4 linked regions of the Drosophila melanogaster genome follow. The gene in region 4 interacts genetically with the main gene of each other region. Each region holds a gene or a part of one and is shown on either strand. Other genes may lie near its edges.

Region 1 (5,227 bases), on a different chromosome or scaffold from region 4:
CCATAAGCAACTTAAAGTTAGTGATTGATATTGAAATTATTATATAGAAGAAAACAACGAAAGAATTCGCGTCATACTGCTCGCTTTTTATGCATATTTTATAATGTCAACCATGTTCGTTATGACCAATTCAATTCTCTTGGTGTTTGCCTGCTTTTCGGGCCTTTTCTTCTTTTGGGGCCTGAACCAGAATTGAAACCGCCTCTTGATCGACTCCGCTCGACTCGTCCAACCCGCTCGGCGGCTCCAAACCCGCCGGCTCCGTTGCCTGATCCAATTTCCTAATCATGCAAAGTGGCTCTCCTCTCGACTTGCGTCGCCTTCAAGTGATATCGGGTTTTGGTTTTTGGGGTCTTCGCCGGCCTGGCTGCTCTTACAATTTCCCATTTGTGCGGTGTGCCAAATTAATTGGGTGAACGTGACTGCTGCTGCTCCCTAGTGCTGCCATCTCGTACTGGAGGAGTGGGTGGTGGCTGACCGAGTGCCCGAAAACAAAGCCCATTTCGGGCACTGGGTCAAAAACTGAAATTTTTTCGCAATTGCTAGTTCCCGGAAATTAATGTAAAGCATTGCCCGCTCTTTGTTTTTTACAATTCTCCAGAATGTTATTCGATTTTAATTAACAGTTTTTATTGGAATTCAAAGCTAATTTTGTTGAAACAACTAGCACTACTAGGCATGACTAGTTTTAAATTCATAGAAAGTCGAAGCTCGTTTAAGGTCCTATTAGAGAGGCAACGAACTACGACGACCTTGATATTCGAACTTTTCACTGGACGCAGGCAAGCTTTATTCTATTTTAATTGAGCCATTGGCTAGGATTTCAACTTGGCCTTAACCTTAAGCCAAGGATTCAGTTCCACCCTTTGGCCATTACCCATTACAAGGATGGCCTTTCTTTTTGGCCGCTAACCCGATCCACTTGGGTTGTTTTTTTCCTGCTTTCCATATACATTTCAGTTAGTGGGGGCTTATTGACTTGCTCTCTTGTTTTGTTGTAAGCTTTTGCTTGAGATATATAGTTTTTTATATATTTTTTTTATATTTATTTTCTTATTTATTTTCTTGCTTGCTGTACTCACTTTTGGCGACGCCTTCGATTTTCGCCCATTTGCGCAGCAGCTAGTTGATTTCCAAGGCAAGTCACGAGCGGCACTTGCAAATTGAAGAAATCCGCCCGGCGTCTTCTTGTCTCTTGCCCCGCATCCACCTCACCCCCCCCCCTTTACCACTCCCTTGTCGCCCCCAATTACCGCCCCCTCACCCTTCGCCACGGGCTCTTTCTCAGGTGCGCCAGCTGATTGATAATTGGGCGGAGAGGCCGACGGTTGGAGAGCAGCCTCCCGGGTGAAAAGAGCCGCAAACCGCGGACTGCACTGCGAGAAAGGGGGGTGTACCTGCAAGTATAAACAGTAAAGTAACTTGTCATTTTAAAATAGAAATATTATCGTAAATATATACTGAATATTTGCACGATTTCCGAGCCACATTGAATGGATACGTTTGTAGCACCCGTTTGGTCCATCAGTGATGTGAACATGTATGATTTGTTTGATGAATCTCGGAAAGAGAAAGAGCGATGTGGCGAGAGCAGCAGGAGAGATCAGGAGAGATGGTGAGAGGGCGATTGCCAGGTGGGCAAGTGCCATTTGGGGCTCTTTTTTTTTTTTGCCCCCTCGGCGGCTCTCGTGTTGCTGCTGCTGCTGCTGCTGCGTCTGTTGTTGCTGCTATTGCTGTATTGCTATATTGCTAATGTGTTGCCATTGCCGTTGGCCGGTTAGCGGGTCTCCAAGACTCGGACACTCGCTTTTGCCGCCTGGTCGGTCTTTCAGTCGGTCGGTCGTCTTTGGCTTTGCCCGTTTTGCGGATTTTCATAGTTCAGTGCGCTTTCCAGTCGACAACGACAACATCGCGAACGGACTACGACGACAGCCGCCGCAGCAGCAGCAGCAGAGCGCCAGTGTCTAAATATAATCATCTTTATTTGTGATTTATTTAATCAACATCTCCTCACCCAGAGGCCAACCAGATAGATAGCCCACTGCGGGGGCGGTGCGCCAACGAGATGGATGGATGGATGGATGATGAAAAATCAAAGAAAAGAGCGCCAAATTGCACTTGAAAAGTGAAAGAAATTGCACTGAGAGTGGCAGGCCAAAAGTGTTAGCTTATCGCTTATCGGCGATTGAATCAATCAGCCGAAGCCTGTTGAAATTTCAAGTTCAGAAATGCAAAAGTGACTGTGCGGCGAATGGAAAGCTATTGGGGAAAATTGCGGAAATCGCACTTGAAATATAAGTAAAGCAAAAGACAAGTGGCTTTGGAGTTGATTACCTTCAATTTACCACAATCGGGCAGGCAGTAAGAAACGGAAATTAGGGCTTGATGGCTTTTAAACATTAAAGAAAATAATATACGGAAATCACTATGGCCAATTGAAGTGATCTCTAAGCTGGCATACTTGTATTTCAGTCAAACAAAGAGTGTCCAGAACAATTCTTGCGGTTGCCACAGGAAGCTTGAATCGGTAATCGCTTGAATTGCCTATCGGACTATCGAACGAATTGCAAAAGTGAACGAACATGATGAGAAAGCAATTGAAATCTACTTCCTGCTGGCAGAGCACATCGGATATAGCTTTTATCAGTGCTTAAAACTTTTTCCGAAAACACTGAAACAACCGAAAACTGAAAGTGAAATAATCAATGTAAAACATGCCGAAACAGAAAAATGAATTGATGTTGTAATCGCGACGGCAATCGCTTAAATCAACAATCTTATACGAAAACGATGTTGCTGCTATCGCTTATCGCTATTTGGAGAAATCAGTTAGGCCAACGTGTGTGTCTTTTGGCCAAGCATATTTAAGCCACAACAAATTGTTGTTATGCGTGTTGCTGTCGCTGTTGCTGCTGTTGTTATTGCTGCTGCTGCTGCTGCTGTCATTATGCAACATTATGCCGCAGTTTGATGAATCTTTTTTGAGCGACTGTGCGCTCGCCGACCGCTGGCATTTCTATTCGTACACGGTCAAGCAATTGCCGCCACATCCGAGTCCGAAACCGAATCGGAATCGGAATCCGTATCCCAGCGGTGCCAGCCACGATGACCATCAGCACCAACTCCATCATCATCATCATCAACAGCACCATCACAATCATCATCGTCTTTGGAAGACTCAGCGGCAGTCGTGGTCGCCGCGCGACACCAACAACAATCATAGCCTCACAAGCAACAACTGCAACTGCAACAGCAGTAACACCTGCAACAGCATCAGTGCCACCGGCAACACGTTGCATAGCATCAAATTCCACAGACGTCGCAAATACAAAAAGCTGGCACGATTGGCGCTATCAACGCCAGCGATTCCACTGCAGATGGATGTGGATGTCGATGTGAATGTGACCGTGGATAGGGAGTTCGATATGGAGATGGACACACCTGTGCCGCTCAAGAATGCGGTGTGCCGTAAGTGAAAGCTACTCGCCGGTCTTTTCGCTTGGTGGGTGGTGCTCATCGGTTTCTCGCTGTTTTGGATCTTTAAAAAAGTTCCGAAACTAAAATGTTTGGGCTCGCATGAACGATTCCCGAAATGGGGAATGCTAGGAATTCCGTATTACATATGTTGATTTCAATTGCAATTATTTCACATTTAAGTAGACACGTTTCAAGATTCGAATGAGTACATATGTACATATATTGTGTTGTGAAGGGGTAATGATGAATCTTTTCAAGATTCCTCAAGCTGTTTGGCTAACTCTGAAAGATTTTCATTTTCGCTGCTGGCTTAGCCACTTTAGAATGATGTATACGATGACCTTAAGATATTCATCTTACCTAACCAAATGAAGAAAAGTAAGAAACGAAACGATACCAACATTGCCATATATTGCAAAAGATTGTGGTTTTATATGGAGCAACTTTTGATTTTCAAATTGGCATTCAAGAATGCGGCTCGAACAGGAAAGACTCTAAGCCCATGATATGTGTATATATATAGGATCTAGATTCCAGTCTTAGTCTCTTATTATTGTTACCCAAAAACGTATATTGTTATCTAATGCCTATGAATTGATTAAGTGTACCTACCTTAGATTAATAATCCCCGATTTCTTGCTCTTTTTGCAGACGGCAGCATCAGTTCTCCATCCACGCCCGGCACCTGTTCCAGTGGCATCGGAGTGGGCGGTGGCGGCTGCAGCAGCAGCAGCAACAATAGCATCAACAGCGGCAGCTACTCCACCGCCTGCACTCCGCCACCACCCACGCATCAGCATCACTCGCAGCACCAGCAGCTGCAGGGCACGCCGGGAGGATCTAGTCGGGTAGGGGGAGCAGGAGCAGGCGGAGGTGGTGGTGTACCACCGGCACCACCCAGTGCCGGATCCTCGGGCCACAAGAACAGTCTCAAGGGCACCAAGCTAGCGCGCCGGGCGCGTTCCTTTAAGGACGACCTCATCGAGAAGATTTCCCTGATGCGAACCACCAACAATACACTGGGTCGCTCCCACTCGCCGCACAGTCCGCGCACCAAGCACGGCACAAAGGCACCGCCCACCACCGAGGAGGTGCTACGGTCCACCCAAACCCTGGAGACGCACGTCAAGGACATTTCGAATGCCCTGAAGCACTTCCGGGATGTTATACTCAAGAAGAAGCTGGAGGTGTTGCCGGGCAACGGAACGGTCATTCTGGAAACCATAGCCAGCATGTACTCCGGTGAGTATCTACTACCCCAATTTCCTCGTTTTGTAATTAATCCAGTTGCTTTCCTTTGCTGCCGCAGTGATCCAAACCTATACCCTGAATGAAAACAGTGCCATCATGAGCAGCGCCACGCTGCAGGTTTACCAGAGCCTGGGCAAGCTCATCAAGCTCTGCGACGAGGTGATGCTCTCCGAGGACAGCGGCGAGTGCGCCTCCCTGAGCAACGAGAATGTGCGGGAAGTCATTGATCTTCTCGAGGATGCTGTGCGGGTAAGTCCAATTAACACTAACCTAGTACACAGTGTATTGCTATAATAAATACGATGATGTTTCATGATCGTGCACAGAATCTCGTTACGCTGGCGCAGGGCAAGCTGAAGGAGCAGGATCAGTGCGCCTTTCGCTACAGTGGATCTGGCTTGGGCGGCATTGGAGCGGCGGCGGAGATCATGGGTGCGGTCACCGCCTCGCCGGGAGCGAGTGTTCCCGGTACTGGAGTCATGCGCGTTTCGGCCGCCGA
Region 2 (5,111 bases), on a different chromosome or scaffold from region 4:
ACTATTCTGTTGACTGTTGCAATAGTAAATGCTTTAGAAATAGCATGTCATCAGGAGAGATACTCCATCTCACATATGAGCTTTTTCATTAATTTAGATAAGGGTAATGTTATTATGTTGGCTGTGAAAAGATAAATACTGTGGTGTCCAGATAAAATGAAACCGCTCTCTTAAATGGAAAGTATAAAGTCTGACATCAACTAAAAAAAAAAAACAATAGTCCCGTGCCTCTGTTTTATTCCACTAAAATAATGTTTGCACAAGACTAAACTCCATCCAATTGCAAAGCACATATTTACGTAAAAAATGTATGTGCATTAAAACCTCTGAAATGCGGAGCTTTCAGCAGAAATATATATATTTTCAATTAAATTATAGTATTTTTATACTTTTACAGCGGTTTAATTATTATTTTTGCACGACAGAAAACACTTTTCAGGCATAGCTCATGAAATGAATGGTAAATTACTTTAATGCTTTATCATAATATAAATTGTATTTTAAGAGTAGTATCATTAAATGGGTTGGTTTATTTATAGCGAACTACAATTACATTTATTTTGCATTTCAATTCACAAGAAAGATATGAATGTCATGATTAAAGTCCTGTTTTTATTTTCCTTTGTTCGGTGTCCAAATCAGGAATGATGAAATAATTGCTGTGCAGAAGGCGGCTCATTGAGTTACGGAGAATTGATATCGAGATTTAATAAAGCGGATAATTCGTGGCAGGCCGTGTCCACAAAGTGGATGGATTGGCCATTTGCCAGCCATCAAGGATGGAGGAGGATGGGGCACCCCGATGTTGGTTCTTGACAAATGAATGTCGAGCATGACGGCAACATTTTAAAATGTTTCGCTTCTCGTTCTCGTTTTGTTTGTACTCCACGTCGAGCTTTTCATTCAACTTACACGTACGTCGATGTGTGAGTACGTGTCTGCTCCGGGAAAACAGAGGAAAGAAACTTGTGCACTCAGCTGGGAAATGCCTTAAATTTAAGAGAAAGCATTCCGTTTCAGCTAAGGAAACTTTTGGAGCTAAAAACTTAGAATTTAAAGAAAAGTTCCCCAAAATCGCTGCTCATTAATTGTGCAGCTCATTAAAAAATCACTTACCGTTTGTCCATTGCAGTTATCCATTCCATCGCCATGTTGAATTTTTATTTAAATCTCCCTCGCTCGATTAGTTTCGCCGTTTGACACAAGTTATGATACAAGTTATGAACAGCACATTCCACAAACACCAAACCAAATAGTTGCCCCAACTTTGAGCAGAGCACATAAATCGAGGCGGAGCGGCTCCAAAGTGGTGCAAATTAATTGCCCGTTGCGGCCCAGGAAAGCGAAATCAAAATACCGAGTAATGGCGGCGCTCGCACCCAGTTTGCAGTCACCTCAATCCGCGATGTGGCCGTCAATCTGCGATTCCCTTTGAATACGACATGCCAGGTGGCTCGGCCCAGCGAGGCACTCGAAATCCGCTTTTGGGAGCGTTGGAGCGAGCTCCTTTCGAGTTGGAGCCAGGGGTAAGTGGACGTAGCTCGTTGATTAGGCGAAAGTTTGGAAATGGATTTCAGTTTGAGCTCCCGTTTGGCTGGCGACGAGGATTTCGATACCGAGCAGCTGCAAAGTTAAATTGGGCGAATGTGAGTCTAAATTCACTATACAGCAGTCGTAAGTGTAAGCTAGCCTTGGGATGTCGGACTCTAATATAATTTATATAAAATGCCAGCAGCAGATGTAAAAGTTTCCCTCTTTCCGATTTTTTCAGCCACATAACTAATGTGAATTGCTATTGTTGGACTTGCCAAAAAGGGTTTTCCCAACTGCTGATAGCTGCCCAGAAGGCCCCACTGCGTCAGTGTGTGTGTGCTTGTGTGTGCTTGTGGGTATCTGTGTCGCCAACAAAAGCAAATGTTATGAATAAGCTTTGATGCCTGCTCGGCCGGCGAGGGGGTGTTGTGGTGCAGGAGAGCGGTGAGGGCGGAGCACCAACAAACTGTTGGCGCACAAATCTAACAATAGATTTCCAGATAACAATAGATTACTCCACACACACGGCGTATACTTAATGCGCTGTCAATGGGCATTCTAATTTCCCAGTATGCCCAAATCCAGATCGTATGGCATGCGAAGGCACGATCTAACCGCGAATTCGTTACCGAACTCCATGTTTACCCATGCGCTGCACTATCTGTATCTGTACCGCAAACGAATGCGTATTTTGTTCTGCGTCAATGGGAAAAAACATAATTTATACCACCCCATCAGAAGTGCAGTGGCTTTCGTCAGCGAAATGGAACTGCAGGCGGAACAAGTGTTCGAGTGACGGCTCAAAAGGAAAGACATCGCGAAGGACCATCAGCTCGCATATGAATAATTAAGTATTCGCCATCGTGGCCAGCCCGCGAAGGCGCCCGAATGTATGCCACGTTTTCTGACGTGTCGTTCGCTCGCTGGCTGGCTCCACGTACATAAATGGCGACAAAAGTCCCGGGGGCGATAAGACTGATATTGGCGATATTCCGAGTGGACGACTCGATAAGCGGCCACTTTCGAACGAGTTGTCCATCCTGCCAGCAAATGCAATTAGTGTCCGGAGTGGCGGTTAGGGAATTGAATTGAACAAGCTTTGAAATCGCCCTGGAAACAGATGTTCCATGTAATTTCCACTTTAGGGTTTCAAACTTTGTTTTAATTAAGCAACCGAGTGAAAGCAAAACTTTGAACCACAATAGATGTGATTTAACTGCCCACTGCAGCCGTTGCCAAACGGAAAACTTAGCCATTTAGCTTGGTCATGTGGCGAAGAAACATCATGAATCGAATACTCACGCATCCTCTGAACGGAGAAAAGGATCAGAAGATGCAAGAGTAACAGAGATCCCGCAGCAGAATTCGATATTTTAAAGTCCTTCTTGTTGGCAAACACTTTTTGGCACGGAAAATGAACTTTTAGTTTCGAACCCACGCGACATACCGAAATCCAGCGAATACCTGAAATCGAACCGACTTCAAACGAATATTTAAATGAACCACTTGCTAACGGCTTTCAAGCACTTGGTATATACAGTTCTTGGGCAAACATTTCAGTTCTCGACCTCCGCTGAAGCGCTATCGCGTCCGATTCATTTGGTAGTCGCGTCGCAACTGCTCGGCCGCCTTCCATTTTCCGACTTCCGAGCGGCGCTCTTCACCACGCTCCTGTCCTGCGCCTCGCAGGTGGGTTTCCCGGCGGAGATTGGGGGTCGTGGTGGGTTGTTGGAAGTTACTCATTGCCGATGACTGCAGTGTTGACGGCTGCGGTGCGGTACTTTTGGCCTTGTTCCGCCTTCCCGCCGTCCCTTTCCGTCACTCACATATTTTGGCGCGTTTTTTAGCAACAAGTTTGACAAATCTTCGGCACAGTGGGCTTACATCCAAATCGGTGTGGTCAAAATCCAAATAAAATTTGGCACACGAAAAAACGTAATTTCAAAGTAGTTCTAATTAAATACAGTTTCTTTGCTTATAGTGTTTGAAATTATACTACTTTTGTTATAATATTTATTATAATTTGAATCCCATTATTTTGTGATATGAATGGATTTCTACTATTCTTTTACGATTTTAAACTTAATATTAATTTAATTTAAATATTATTCTTATTCATTTACTGCCTACACTTATATACGATAATCAGCAAAGAGATACAATTTGTATAAAGATGGCTATAATGATATAGCATTTAACATATAAATTTATGTTCTTGTTTGATTTATTTGTTTTACTTACTTGCTTATTGCTTATTAGTATAGATTGTCTTAAGTCCTCACATGATTAGTGAGAGGTTTGGTTTTATCTTTTATATGTTAATTGCGCTGTTATGTTACTGTTACTGCATTGTATGGATTCATCGCTTCTAAATAAATAAATATAAAAAAAAAAAAAATATAGATTGTGTATTGGGCTTTAAAGATGAAAAGTTAATCGAATCTGATATGTTGTATTACGAATAATATTGCTTGCCTAGTCTACTTGAAATAACAATTTGTTTTGACTCTATTCACTCGAATGTTTAGCAACATTTGCTGCTCGCTCTCCTATTCTACGTGCTCCACAACAAACTGTTGAGCGTTATTTTGGTGAGTCGTCGCAGTTGACCAGCTCTTCAACAGGCACTTGTCCGTCCGCTCGGCCGTCGGGCGAACAGCGGACAACCCCGCACCGCGCCCCGGGCGGAACTGCCTCACACCCTCGCCTGAAAGTGCACATAAAATGGAATCGCAATGCGAAACAATCAACATGTCAATTAAATAATGCACACCAGCAGCGGACACGAAACAACGGACAGAATTTACGGAGCGAGTGCGTGAACACCCGGACTTTTGGTCACTTGGACACTTGGACATTCACTGACGGCTTGTCACATTCAGCTAATGAATCAACGGCGATTCAGTCGTGTTCGCTCCTGAAAAGGTGCGAAAATGCAAAGCTTTCCTTTTGTTTTCCACCTTTCCCAGAGCCGCTGTTGTTGTGGTCGCCACCACAATATTTACGGCACTCTCGAGTGCCTTTATTTCCGCATGAATCATTCCCAGTTTCGGTTCCAGCTCCACAGGCTGCCCCAGCGCATATAAATTCTTGGCTTTTTCCCCCAGCTGTTAATGCACAGAAAGAAAAATAGTTAAGGTGGATCGTAGTCTGGTATTCCTAGATAGGTATTTCATTATACACAAACGGGTGTAGCATAGGATAAGTGCAAAGATGAATTACTTCTACTAATATAATTAGACATAATTAACAATAACGGTATAGCACTAAATAGAACTGACGTAATAAAAGTGGAAGACTACTTTCCCTGTGTTGCAGGGTTTTTTTTTTTTTTTGGTTTTTCATGGGGTCTGCCTGTCGCATTTTTTATGAGCCTCCCCCATGTTGACAGGACCACCATAGACATTTTTTCGGGCTTGCCAATGCGGAATGAAATTCCAAGAATTTAACGGCCGCTTTGCCTGCTGAATATGTCATCACATGGCGTTGAATCCTGCTCCACCAGACACAACACAACGACCCGGCGGTAATTATGATAAATGCGATCTTAATAAACTCGGCTGGTGGGCACGGCTGGC
Region 3 (5,375 bases), on a different chromosome or scaffold from region 4:
TAAGCACATTGTCATGACTAGAGGGGCTATTGTACGCTACAATAGACAAATCATAATTTTAACAAGTCAAATACGCTGTATAATATAATATATAAATACAATAATTTAATAGGCCTTAAAGAAATGCACCATCAACTGACGGCATCTGGCATCATCTTCAATCAGCAAAATTTGTAGAACTATTTCCAATTCATGGTTTTCCTTCACATTTATGTAGGTCATACTCACTTTTTGGGAATGGTCGAGACATAGGGCATGAGCACCTTGTCCACAAACGAACCGAAACCAAGATGGAAATTGTTGGTGATGCGTTTCATGGTCTCGGACAACTTGTCGCCCAGCGTAGACAATTTGGCCTTGTCGTCCTCCATAGATTTGGAGAGATCCATCAAGTAGTAGAGATCCACCGGATATCCCTCCGCCTGGGAATAGCTAATCTTGATGTTGTGTTTCTCATCTAAGGTGTATTGATAAGCAAGTAAGGGATTAGTTTGTAGGTCACATGGATGATGCAATCGTTTGCTACTCACTGACGCGCAATGCGAGTCGCATGGACTGCGGTTGGATTTGGACAATTTCGCCGGCAGAGTACTCTTCGTATCCGCTGGCGGAACTGGATCCCGAGGAGCTCTGCGAGTAGAAGCTCGACGAGCTCGAACTCGACGAGTAGGAGCTTGAGCTGCTGCCGGACATGGCGGAGCCGCCGCCACCAGCCGCCAGTTCAGCTTTGTATTGATTCGTTAGTTTGTTGTTCACTAGAATCTGCTCAACTGTTATCGGACTGTAGGCGAACTCCTCCGGACACAGTGAGCTGGTGTTTTGGTAGCACCGCGACTGGCCCTTAAAGTCCGGCTGCATGCACCAGGCGCAACCCTCTGTCTGGATGCAGGTGTGACACTTTTCCTTCGATGCACATGTGCTCACTGCCGTCAGTTTGGCCGCCTTCTGGGCATCCGTTTGTCCAGCGATGGCGGCCAGTATTGCGATCATGAGGAGGGCCAGCTGGCACCTCCGGTTTCTCTCGAGGATCATGGCTTTGGCGGTTAGCGGTTGGTGCAGGTTGTGGATGATTCGGGATGCAGGAGGATCGGATATCCTTGGATGTGCCAGGTGCTGTGTGTGCTCTGTCTCTGTCGCTTCTGTGCGCCGGCTGCAATGGTAAGTGAATTAAAATTGTTGGATTTAGCACTAGATGTTAAGTAAGGGGCAGAAATTATTATAAAAGCCATTCCTGGTTCACTTATATTTCTAATGCTACATATTTTATATTATTTTTTTTTATATGCCTTAATCTTTCATTTATTTTTAAGACACAATTTGATTTCTTCGATTTCGCTGCAATTTTTACGAACGCCGGTGTACGTAAAAGTCCAGCTGCTGACTGCACTGCTTGTCGAGCACTGCTTTCTCCGCGTGCCCTGCTTTTTTCTTTATTGCAACAACAAACAACAGCAAATGGCCGCACATCTGTCCCCTTTTTTTGTTGTTTCTTTCGCTCTACCTTAATGTTTAATTTTATTTTCTCATCAACTTGGCCAGATGACTCATCTCACAAACACACACACACACCAAGCGATTGATGTACGAACTTGTGTGTGGGTGTGCGTGCCTGCGTGCTTTTGTTGTTTTTTTTTGTTGGCCTCCGAAAAGAAAAGGAAAAAAGCGGAAGGAAGAGAGCTTTCGATAAACGTCAAATGCAATGCGAATTACTCATTCGAGCACGTTCCGTTAGCACGCTCTCTCGCTCTCTTGGCTCCTGGCAAAATGTAAACAAAGGCCGAACGAACAATGAGTGGTCATTGAGTCAGCTTCGCTGGGTTTCCTTTCCGCCTAAAGCCACATGAATCACTCACTCCAAGCCACTCAAGACTCAAATCAAAATTCCATATGCACGGAACGGAAAAAAAAGGGCTGCAGATTACGTATACGTATGGGTGTTGTGTTGGTCGGCTATTTTTAAACGCCCACGCACACACAACACAACGAACACTAACACACCACAGAGCTTGATTTGCAGCAGATCGTGTGCCGAAAGGAAAACAAACTAAAAACGACTAAGCCCATGTTTATATACCCTTGGATTGAATAATTTCATTCGATTATCATTTATACACCCAGTCACAGCATATCAAAGTTATGAGTTGTGCACTTAGTAGTAGTTTTAATCAGTTTTTTAGCTAGCAAATTCGTAATACTATAAACCGCCTGAGTAAACAGCATCTGCAGCGCATAGTTTCAACCACGGATGGACGCCCACAGCCATTGGGCCAAAAACGAGGCACATCTGGGCCGCCCACATGTGGGCGTACTGGTTAAACCAGCGGCGCGCAGAGGATTTCATTTTTTTTATTGTTTTTTTTTTGATAGCTTTGGTAAAATTGGTTTTTACTTCCAGTTACAGTTGGTTTCAAATTCGGTTGGCTGTTTATAAAGTGGACAATTACCCCGAAAATCTGGGCAATCCCCTGACAAACACAAATTCCTGCTGCTGCCACTGAGCTCTTGATTTTTGTACGCTCTTTTCGCTTCTGCCTACGTACTCTACTCGATTTTTAGTTCGAGTGCAAGATCTCCGGGGTGGGGAAGTTGCACTGAAAAGGGAGGGGGCGTAATCAGCAATTGGCGTCGCGAAGTCGCCGATATGCACACTCAAAGAAATAAATAAATATGATGAATAATAATAACAAAAAAAATGAAACGAGTGAATGTATCGTGAGGATTCATTATTTTTTTTAGCTCAACAAACAACCCACACACAGATACGGCGTTCGGTGTGTGCGTGCCTGTGTGTCGTCACTGCGAATGAAATCATCGAAAAAAGAGGAGATAAAAGTAGCGCTTCGATATTGCTTCCTCTTTTTTTGGGCAAATGCAGCCCGGAATCCATTGATTTCTTACGTAATACCCACTATTTCACCCGCTATCTGATTAATCGCAGCACTTTGGCTTAACTTTCGCTGCGTTTTCGCTGATAATTCGCGATATTAATTTCCATCAGGGCGGCACTTTTCTTATTTTGATTTGCCTTCTCGCACACTTGTGGAGTTCCCACTCACACGCACACACTCGCACACTAAACACTAGCACTGTGCACACACGCAGTTATTACAATTACTTGCCACCGTTATTCGCTAGATCAGCGAATTTAACTCTTATCGGGTGACACGAAAAACCAAAAAAAAAAATACAATTCGACTGCAGAAGCAGCAGCTGAAGGCCGCCAATTGGTGTCGGGAATTGGATTTGGATTAAATTAATATTTACTGCTTTGCTTTGTCCGCGGATCTGGTCTGTTGTTCAGTGTTACCAGATGGTGTCAGCAGGGGGTGGAACAACAGTCAATGTTCTTTCGATATTTGCCATCCGATGTTCGCCAGTGTTGTTAAATAGCTCTGGTCACACCGAGCCTAGGAACAGTGTTGCACAGTTTTGGAGGACTGTGTCTCCGCTAAAAGAGACATTTGTGCTCGCAAACACAATCCGATAAGTAATCGAGAAACACGTAAAGGAACTCTGGTTATCGGAGTCACTTATTGCACGATAGTTTCAGACAAAAACGCCTGCTTATATCGATGACAGCCTTGTTTTTGTTGCGCTTACGTTACGAAATTAATGTAAAGTAGCCGACGAATCTACGTTCTACCAGTATAAATGGATTAAAACTAACAACAGCATAAGTGTAAACTGCTGGTGAATTTCCCAAATAGCCATATGAAAAAGCTAAAAGTACGTGCAAATGGTTGAGAAAAGGAGAGAACGAAAGCCACTATGAGTTTGCGAGAGTATGTGTGACTACTTTGCTCTCTGGCTCTCTCTATCACACACACTCGCACAGAACGCTCTTCTCACATGCTCTCTCTCGGCCGGTAGCTCTAGCTGTCCCGCTCTCGATTTATCAATAAAAGCAGTGCGTTAGAGCGGCATAGCCGCATGTACCAAGCGCGTGCGCCTCGTGCCCGTCGGCTGTCCATGTGTGCGTGTGTATTCGCATTTTCAGTAATTTCGAAAAAAAATTTTGTATATTTGATGGCGACTCAGAAGAAACTCGCGCGTTTGTCGAAAAATCGTAGCGCGTACGTATATATCGGTGTGTAGAAATTACTAAAAATTGTGGTAAAAAATGGCAAAAATTATATAAATTTGTGTTCGAAGTGGAGTGCTAATTGCGGGGGATCAGATGCGAATGGAAAAATGTTGAAATTTATAAGATTTTAGCGCCAAAAAATGCATTTGAAAAATGTGAGACTTCAATGGACATGACAAATTTTTTTTTTCATTTTTTTCGGTGGTGGAACAAAAGCGAACGAAAGAGGAGCAAGAAGCAGAAACGTTCGTCAGTGTGTGTGCGTGTGTGTGTCGAGTGAGGGGGCATGAGCATGAACGTGTGTAGTCACCAAGTGAATAATATTAACAAATAAAAGAAGAAAAAACGAAAAAAGAGGAATACACACGCAGAAGCGCGCGAAAAGTTTCACTCGAAATGAGAAAAAACAAAAGCAAAATATACTAGCGCTAGTTGATTTTCGCTAGCAAAAAGAAACCGACGTGCACATTGAAAATCTATAATTTTGTCGATTTTGTTATTGTATTTTTTGATTTTGCGGTTTTGCGGCGCCGTCGGTAACGTTAGCATACCGTTACGTGGCCTACGTAGCGTGGTGACGTACAGAAGACGCTTACGTTGTGGGTTACGTTACATTTGTCGCTGGGGATTTTACTCTTTCTCCCTCTCTTTACGCCACACTCATTCTCTGGCGCGCGCAAATCCAAAAATCTCGAGAAAAAAAATAGTGCCCGATGTGACCAATATTTTTTGTTTTTATTTTTACAGTTGCAACTTTTTAACAATCGTGTACAATCTGTATGTTGTATATGTTCAATTCAAAATTCAGCAACAATAGCAACAACGCAATTCAGCAACAACAACAAACAAAACCGACAAGCTAAACTTGGCTAAGACAAAATCAACATCCAGCGGCAGCGCGGCCATAAACAAAGCCAAAATCAAAAGTCATTCGGATATATACATATATTCGCCCATAATAGCGAATAAACAGTAACAGAACGAGTGGATTTAACGAAACAACAAAAAGAAAAGAAGAACGATAAAATCCAAAGGAAAAGTAAGTTTAAAAAGTGCAGCGCACGTGGCGTTTACCCCCGCCTCCTCCACCACTAGCCGCCCACCTTCGCACAGTGGAAAACGACACAAGAGCGCGCCTCTTCGGTTTGCCCCAAGGACACTTTGCATTTTCTGCTAGTTTTCGAGTATTTGCTTAGGGGTCAGCAACCCGGCAAAATGGAGGGAAATTTCGACACGACAGCTGCTTTTCCCCGGATTTATTCAACTGCCGCAACAACCCTTTTTTCCCCGT
Region 4 (6,005 bases):
AAGCCGCGATTGCTAGAGATTGCTAGAAAGCCACACTCACTCACACGTTCGACTGATTATAAAAAGCGTTAATTAACAAGCATCACACCAGGAATCGGAGGCGAGTCCCCCAGTATAGCACTTTGCTTAGCCCAAAACCTAGTCATGAAGCGGAACTCGAGCCACTTATTGTACAGTAATAGAAACTACCACGTAACTCTGTCTTAAAATTCACTTTCTACATTTTAACTGCTGGCGAGCGATTCGCCGGCTTCTACGAAAAGCATGCATTATGATTGTATATCTCAACCCGCGAATCTCTCGGAACTTGCATACCATATCAGCTGTGGATACAATGCGGTTTTACTACTCCTACGCCCCAACTTAACTCCGAATCGATCCTATCGCAGATCTTACGCTGGATTAACATGCGTGCTATAAACTAGCAGAATATTATAATTATAAAGACGAGCTATTTGATTGTAATTGTATATGTATAAATATTTGAATAACAACCTTATATAACTATTCCAAGTATCAAATACAGATATTTCAAAACTTCAATGCAATCGTCTTGTCTTTAACTTCTGAATGAACTATGCTAAGAATAAGGCATACGCTCCACAAATGAATTTATTTAATTTTTATTTTGTTTTTGCATTTCCTTTTTAATTTTTTATAAACATAATACATTTATTAATAATTAAAAGATGCTCGATCATGTCGACCTACTGCGTCGCGAATTCGGGACTGCCAGGATTCTGAGATCAGAGGCTCTGTGTGGGGTCCCAAAAACGCGACCAGTAGGGAAACAAGTTCGAAAAAATGGTTTTTCAATTACATTTTTCACACGCTCATTATTACATTATGTTATTGTAACGGTTGGTTTGTTTGTTGTTTATTATGTTCAAAAATGATTTGTATCTTTATCATATATTTAATATATACGCTTGGGCTTAGGTTTTATTTAGTTTACTTTTAATGTTGGTTGTTGGCTGTGTTTAGACTTTGATTTAAGGGCATATTGGTTACTACTCGTACGCGAAGTTTATGCAATGTTTATTATGAAATATTTGTAAATTACTTCGTTTTTAGGTTTCTTTTCATTTTGGGATTGACACGACAGTTTAGTTTGTGTTAAACCATTTCTTATGTATTAAATATTCTAGAATTTGTGGCTCTCTCTGCACTTCCTGCTCCTCTTCTTTTTACCAGGAAGCGGAAATGAGCCTTGGCCGCAGGAGCCTCTTGTCTCGATTCCGCTTCCGTTTTCGTGTAGCTTTTTCGCTCTCTGAGAGCGCGCCGGAAATGTGTAGGTGTGTTTGTGTGTGTGAGTTCTGGTTGCGAATGTGTGTGTGTGTGTGTGGGATGTGGCTGGTATGTGTGTGTTTGGGGGGGGGGGTTCAGATTTGATGCAACTGATCGTGGTAAACAATTAATTGTAAATTTGTTTTAAACTAATTTCTAAGGGGGAGGGGGCTCATTACTTCTGGTTGTTTGCAACATTTTGACATCATTTGCATACAATATTTTTATAAAATATGTTCCTTATTCATGATTCATTTCCTTTCTCGATTTATTTGCTCATTTCTCTCGTGGAATTTGTTATCTTTATCTTTTAGGCGTACAATTTAGTTTAGCTTAATTTGATTTGTGTTTCGAATGTTGTTTTCGGTTCTATTTAAAGATATACTTGTTGTTGGTTGGGCTTTCGCGTGTATAAGTAGTTGTAGTTGTAGATGTGTAGAGTACAATCGAAAAGAATCAATAAATACGAATGTTTTAGTTTACGAATGTTTCACTTGTTGCATAATTTAAAAAACGGCTCAAAAACGAACGACAAATATATTTAAATATGTAGATATATATATATAATAATTCCCCATATGAATTAATGGTTAATCAGCGAAAAATAGTACAATCATAATAGTAGTAAATGGTAATAATTACAAAAACTTGAAACAGTTAAAAACATTTGTCAGTTTAAGTTTTGCTTGTATATAGTAGATTGGTTATTTCAATTCGACAATTGCCATCGGATCCAAAACGAAACGAGAACGAAAAAAATTTGAAAATTCTTTACTTTACGCTTATACTTTTGCTCCTCTCTCCTCCTCCTCTGTTATATATTTTTTTTTTTGTTTTTTTAGTTTTGGTGGTTTTTGGAAGTCTTATAGCAGAACACATAGGGACTTTTTCGGCTTCTTCTGTTTCTTCTCGGGCGACTTCTTGTTGATCTGCCGGACCAGGTCGTAGAAAATATCGTTCACATTCACTTTGGCTTTGGCTGAGGTCTCCATGAAGGCGCAGTTGAACTGGGTGGCCAGGTTCTTGCCCAGCTCCTTGCCGACGACGCGCTCCTCTTCGAGGTCGCACTTGTTGCCCACGAGCACCATGGGCACATCGTCCGTGTCCTTCACCCGGAGTATCTGCTCGCGCAGGTCCTGCAGATCGTTAAACGTCGATTGCGCCGTGATCGAGTAGACCAGCACGAATCCCTGGCCGTTCTTCATGTACAAATCCCGCATGGCCGTGAACTGCTCCGTACCCGCCGTGTCCAGGATCTCCAGCATGCACTGCTGTCCGTCCACCTCCACCTGCTTCCTGTAACTGTCCTCGATGGTGGGATCGTACTTCTCCACGAAGATGCACTGGACAAACTGGACTGTCAGCGCGGATTTGCCCACGCCGCCGCTTCCAAGGACCACGATTTTGTACTCACGCATGCTGGCTGCTGTGCTGTTTGTATATCCTTCGTATATCTCTTGTTTTGTGCTAAATTCTAGGGAAGAGACCCAAAATGCAGGTAGGCCAGGTAGGTGGGTTCACTTTCCAGGTGGCTCTCCCTCGAAAATCACTTGTTTTTAGGCGTTGTTCGGCGATTGCTTGTCGGTTGCAGTTGTTTTTTGTTTTTGTTTTTTTTTGTTGCTCTTGCTTATTAGTTAATATATGTTTTATATTTAAAGTAAATTGTTTGTTGTTGTTGCTTTTGCTGTTGATAACCTTTGTGCCGTGTAAGTGACTGCGTGAGTGTGTGTGTGTTAGTGTGTGTGAATGTGTGATGGTGTTTGTGCTCCCTCTCTCGCTCGCTCCTTCCGCCGAGTTGCGTGCGTTCAATTGTTGCTTTTTTGAGCGGAAATATCCTGGCTTGACTGTTCCTCGAGACGGCCGTCACTGCTACCGAGAGCACACTGTGGGGGGAGTAAGAAGAAAGGCGCTTTTTAGACACAATAAACGCTAAATTCTTTGCGAGTCTTTTTGGTTTGCGTTTTTTGGTATGCTGAGAACTGACTGCACTCCCTCTTTTCTTCTTCACAACTCTCTCGTTCTCGTTCTCGCTCTAATGATTCATTTTCAGGGTTGCCAGGCGGCCGCACCGAACGCAGCGCCCCACTGCAACGCCTCAAGCCGGAGATTCCCTTAAATTTCACTCAGCTCTCTCACTTAAAATGCACTTAAATTGCACACTGGGCACCCATGTGCGTACATCGGCCTACCGAACGGCCACTAAACAACTGAACCACGCAAATGCACCCGCATGTCGGGCGGCAGGGCAACTCTGGGCGGAGTTTTACCTATGCTTTTCACTCGCTGCCGCCAACTGCTTGCTCCTTGGGGACCGCTTCACCTGTCGCCGCTCGCGAATCGCTTCACTTTTAATTTAACACTAGTTTGCCTTGTAATTTCTTTACTTTTTCGCCCTCAGCGAACAGCGAACACTCAAAGACTAGGGCTGCCAAAGCATCGATGGCACTATCGGCACTCGCAGGCCGAGGGCTACGCACGACTATCGCAATGGCTTAGCGATGACACTTTTAAAGCATTGCTGTAAATTTTAAAAATAAACTATAAAATTTATATTCGAAATATATTTGATTCTTTTAAATTTATATTAGCACATCAAATTTTGGAAATATTTAAATTGTTATTTTCCCTATATATTTTTTTTTAATTTTAATTTTGTTAATACGATTTCATATTGAAATTGTTTTCTACAGTAAGTGATATTTTATGGTATTCCTATTTTATTTTTTAAGCATAATTTGCAAATAATATATAAGCTGTGTTGCCGATAGTTTAAGAAAAAATTCTAATGCTTGATTGTTTCATGAATCAGCAATATGATTCGCATTCAGAATTTTAGTCAGCCGCATATTCACATTTTCGAGATACAGTTTTGAATCATAGAATTTATCATAAGGAAAATAATTACAATTTATACAAAAATTGCAATATCACGTTTTTGGAATATTATTGTAGGGGTCATAATATTCCAAAAACGTGATATTGCAATTTATGTATAAATTGTAATTATATTCCTTATGATTAATTCAATGATAATAAATATAATAATTTCTTAAAGTGATTAATTCCATGAAAAACACACTCCACTTTAAGATACCGCTAAAATGGTCAGACCGAAATCTCTTCCAATGCTTCAGCGTCTTTTCGATTTAATCAATTCATATAAACTATGTATATTTAGGAAATCAACAAAAGTTAATATCTAACTAAAATTTCGTACAAAATCCAGCGCGGTCATCGACCTAGCGGATCTTGGTGACCATTCCGGCGGCAATGGTGACTCCCGCCACGCGAAGCATCACGCGTCCCAGCTCCTTGAAGTCCGCATACCGCTCGATGCAGATGGGTCTGCTGGTTTCCAGTTCCACTAGGGCACACGAGTTGTTGCCCAGGCAACGCGGCTTCTTCTTGACCACCTCGCCGGTGCTCTTGTGAATCGATGCGGTCAGCTTGCAGACCACGGCGGGCTCTATTAGGGATTGGTGGTGCAGCAGCACGGGGAAGCCCATGGTAATGGGCACCTTGACGTTGAACACGATTATGCGGGCCTGGAATCGCGTTGTCACCGGAATAGGGGTTTGTGGATCGCTGATGATGCAGCCCACGGTGACGTTGTTGATGTCCAAGGCGGGCAGGGTGACGGAGACCTGATCGCCGGCGAACACGCAAGTCTGTGGGAATTCGTTCATGGTAAGGGATTTCACTTGGGCCTGCTCCCGGCTGGCACCCACCAGCACCTTGTCGTTCAGGCACAGCACTCCGGTTTCCACTCGTCCCGAGATGCAGAATCCGGAGCCAGTGCCCTTGTAAATGTCCGACACGGACATTCGCAGCGGTCTGTCGATGGCTCTTTCGGGGATCTTGAAGTTCTCAATGACATCGAGGAGGTGGCGTCCACTGTACCAGTTGGTCAGGGCGGGTTCCTGGGCTTTCTTGGTGAGGTTCTCGCCGGTTAGTCCGGAACAGGGCGTAAAACTCACATCGGAATCCTTGAAGCCCGCCAGTTTGAGGAAGGACTTTAGCTTGGTCACAATCTCTGTGAATCGGTCCTGGGACCAGCCAACGGTGTCCAGCTTGTTGATGACCACGCCTAGCTGGTTAACCCCCAGGGATCGCACTAGAATGGCGTGCTCTCTAGTCTGTCCGCCGAGCTCAAAGCCGGATTCAAACTCTCCCCTTGTAGCATCCACCACCAGAAGGGCAACATCCGCCTGTGTGGCACCGGAGATCATGTTCGGAATGAAGTCCTTGTGCCCCGGAGCATCCAGCAGTGTGACGATCTTGGTCTTGGTTTCGATACGCGACTGGCCCACGTCCATGGTGATGCCGCGGGCCCGCTCCTCGCCCGTCTCGTCCAGCACCCAGGCATACATGAAGCTCTGCTTGCCCAGCTTCTTGGACTCCTGCTCGTGCTTGTGCATCACTCGCTGCGAAACGTTGCCGGTGTCGTACAGTAGATGGCCCATCAGCGTACTCTTCCCGGCGTCGACGTGACCAATGACAATCATGTGAATGTGGCTCTTCTGGTCGGCTCGCTCCTTCTCGTACAGCTGGCGGGCATTGCGCACGGCCTGTTCCTTGGAGACCTTGAAAACGGTTGCTGAGCTACGGGAGATGTCGTCGCCGGCGCTAATGTCAACGGGTGTGTTTCTGCCCGAGACCACAGGCGATGAGGGCACCTTGGGCGAGGGTATTTCGAAGCCACGTCGCGGCTCTTTAAG

What was found.
Region 1: of Rap1 (region 4) and C3G, changing one suppresses a phenotype caused by changing the other (phenotypic suppression), as found in Drosophila melanogaster (one study listed by BioGRID).
Region 2: of Rap1 (region 4) and Epac, changing one suppresses a phenotype caused by changing the other (phenotypic suppression), as found in Drosophila melanogaster (one study listed by BioGRID).
Region 3: of Rap1 (region 4) and mys, changing one suppresses a phenotype caused by changing the other (phenotypic suppression), as found in Drosophila melanogaster (one study listed by BioGRID).

Annotation. Positions count from the first base shown.
Region 1 is NC_004354.4:6,787,953-6,793,179, reverse strand, and holds the start of C3G (C3G guanyl-nucleotide exchange factor), read left to right. Parts: upstream 1-2,144; 5' UTR 2,145-2,957; coding exon 2,958-3,468; intron 3,469-4,128; coding exon 4,129-4,719; intron 4,720-4,786; coding exon 4,787-4,977; intron 4,978-5,054; coding exon 5,055-5,227. UniProt on the Drosophila melanogaster protein: Guanine nucleotide-releasing protein that binds to SH3 domain of Crk. Transduces signals from Crk to activate RAS. Also involved in MAPK activation.
Region 2 is NT_033778.4:6,795,790-6,800,900, forward strand, and holds the start of Epac (exchange protein directly activated by cAMP), read right to left. Parts: upstream 3,153-5,111; 5' UTR 2,981-3,152; intron 1,624-2,980; 5' UTR 1,152-1,623; coding exon 1,117-1,151; intron 1-1,116.
Region 3 is NC_004354.4:8,059,615-8,064,989, reverse strand, and holds the start of mys (myospheroid), read right to left. Parts: upstream 3,346-5,375; 5' UTR 3,265-3,345; exon of another isoform or gene 2,910-3,264; intron 1,151-2,909; 5' UTR 1,033-1,150; coding exon 531-1,032; intron 458-530; coding exon 229-457; intron 1-228. UniProt on the Drosophila melanogaster protein: Integrin alpha-PS1/beta-PS is a receptor for laminin. Integrin alpha-PS2/beta-PS is a receptor for Tig, wb and Ten-m. Contributes to endodermal integrity and adhesion between the midgut epithelium and the surrounding visceral muscle.
Region 4 is NT_037436.4:1,858,507-1,864,511, forward strand, and holds Rap1 (Rap1 GTPase), read right to left. Parts: upstream 3,734-6,005; 5' UTR 3,555-3,733; exon of another isoform or gene 3,424-3,554; intron 3,311-3,423; exon of another isoform or gene 3,171-3,310; 5' UTR 2,706-3,170; coding exon 2,151-2,705; 3' UTR 609-2,150; downstream 1-608. Other genes in the region: HBS1, read right to left, coding at 4,527-6,005. UniProt on the Drosophila melanogaster protein: Ras proteins bind GDP/GTP and possess intrinsic GTPase activity. Plays a role in photoreceptor cell determination.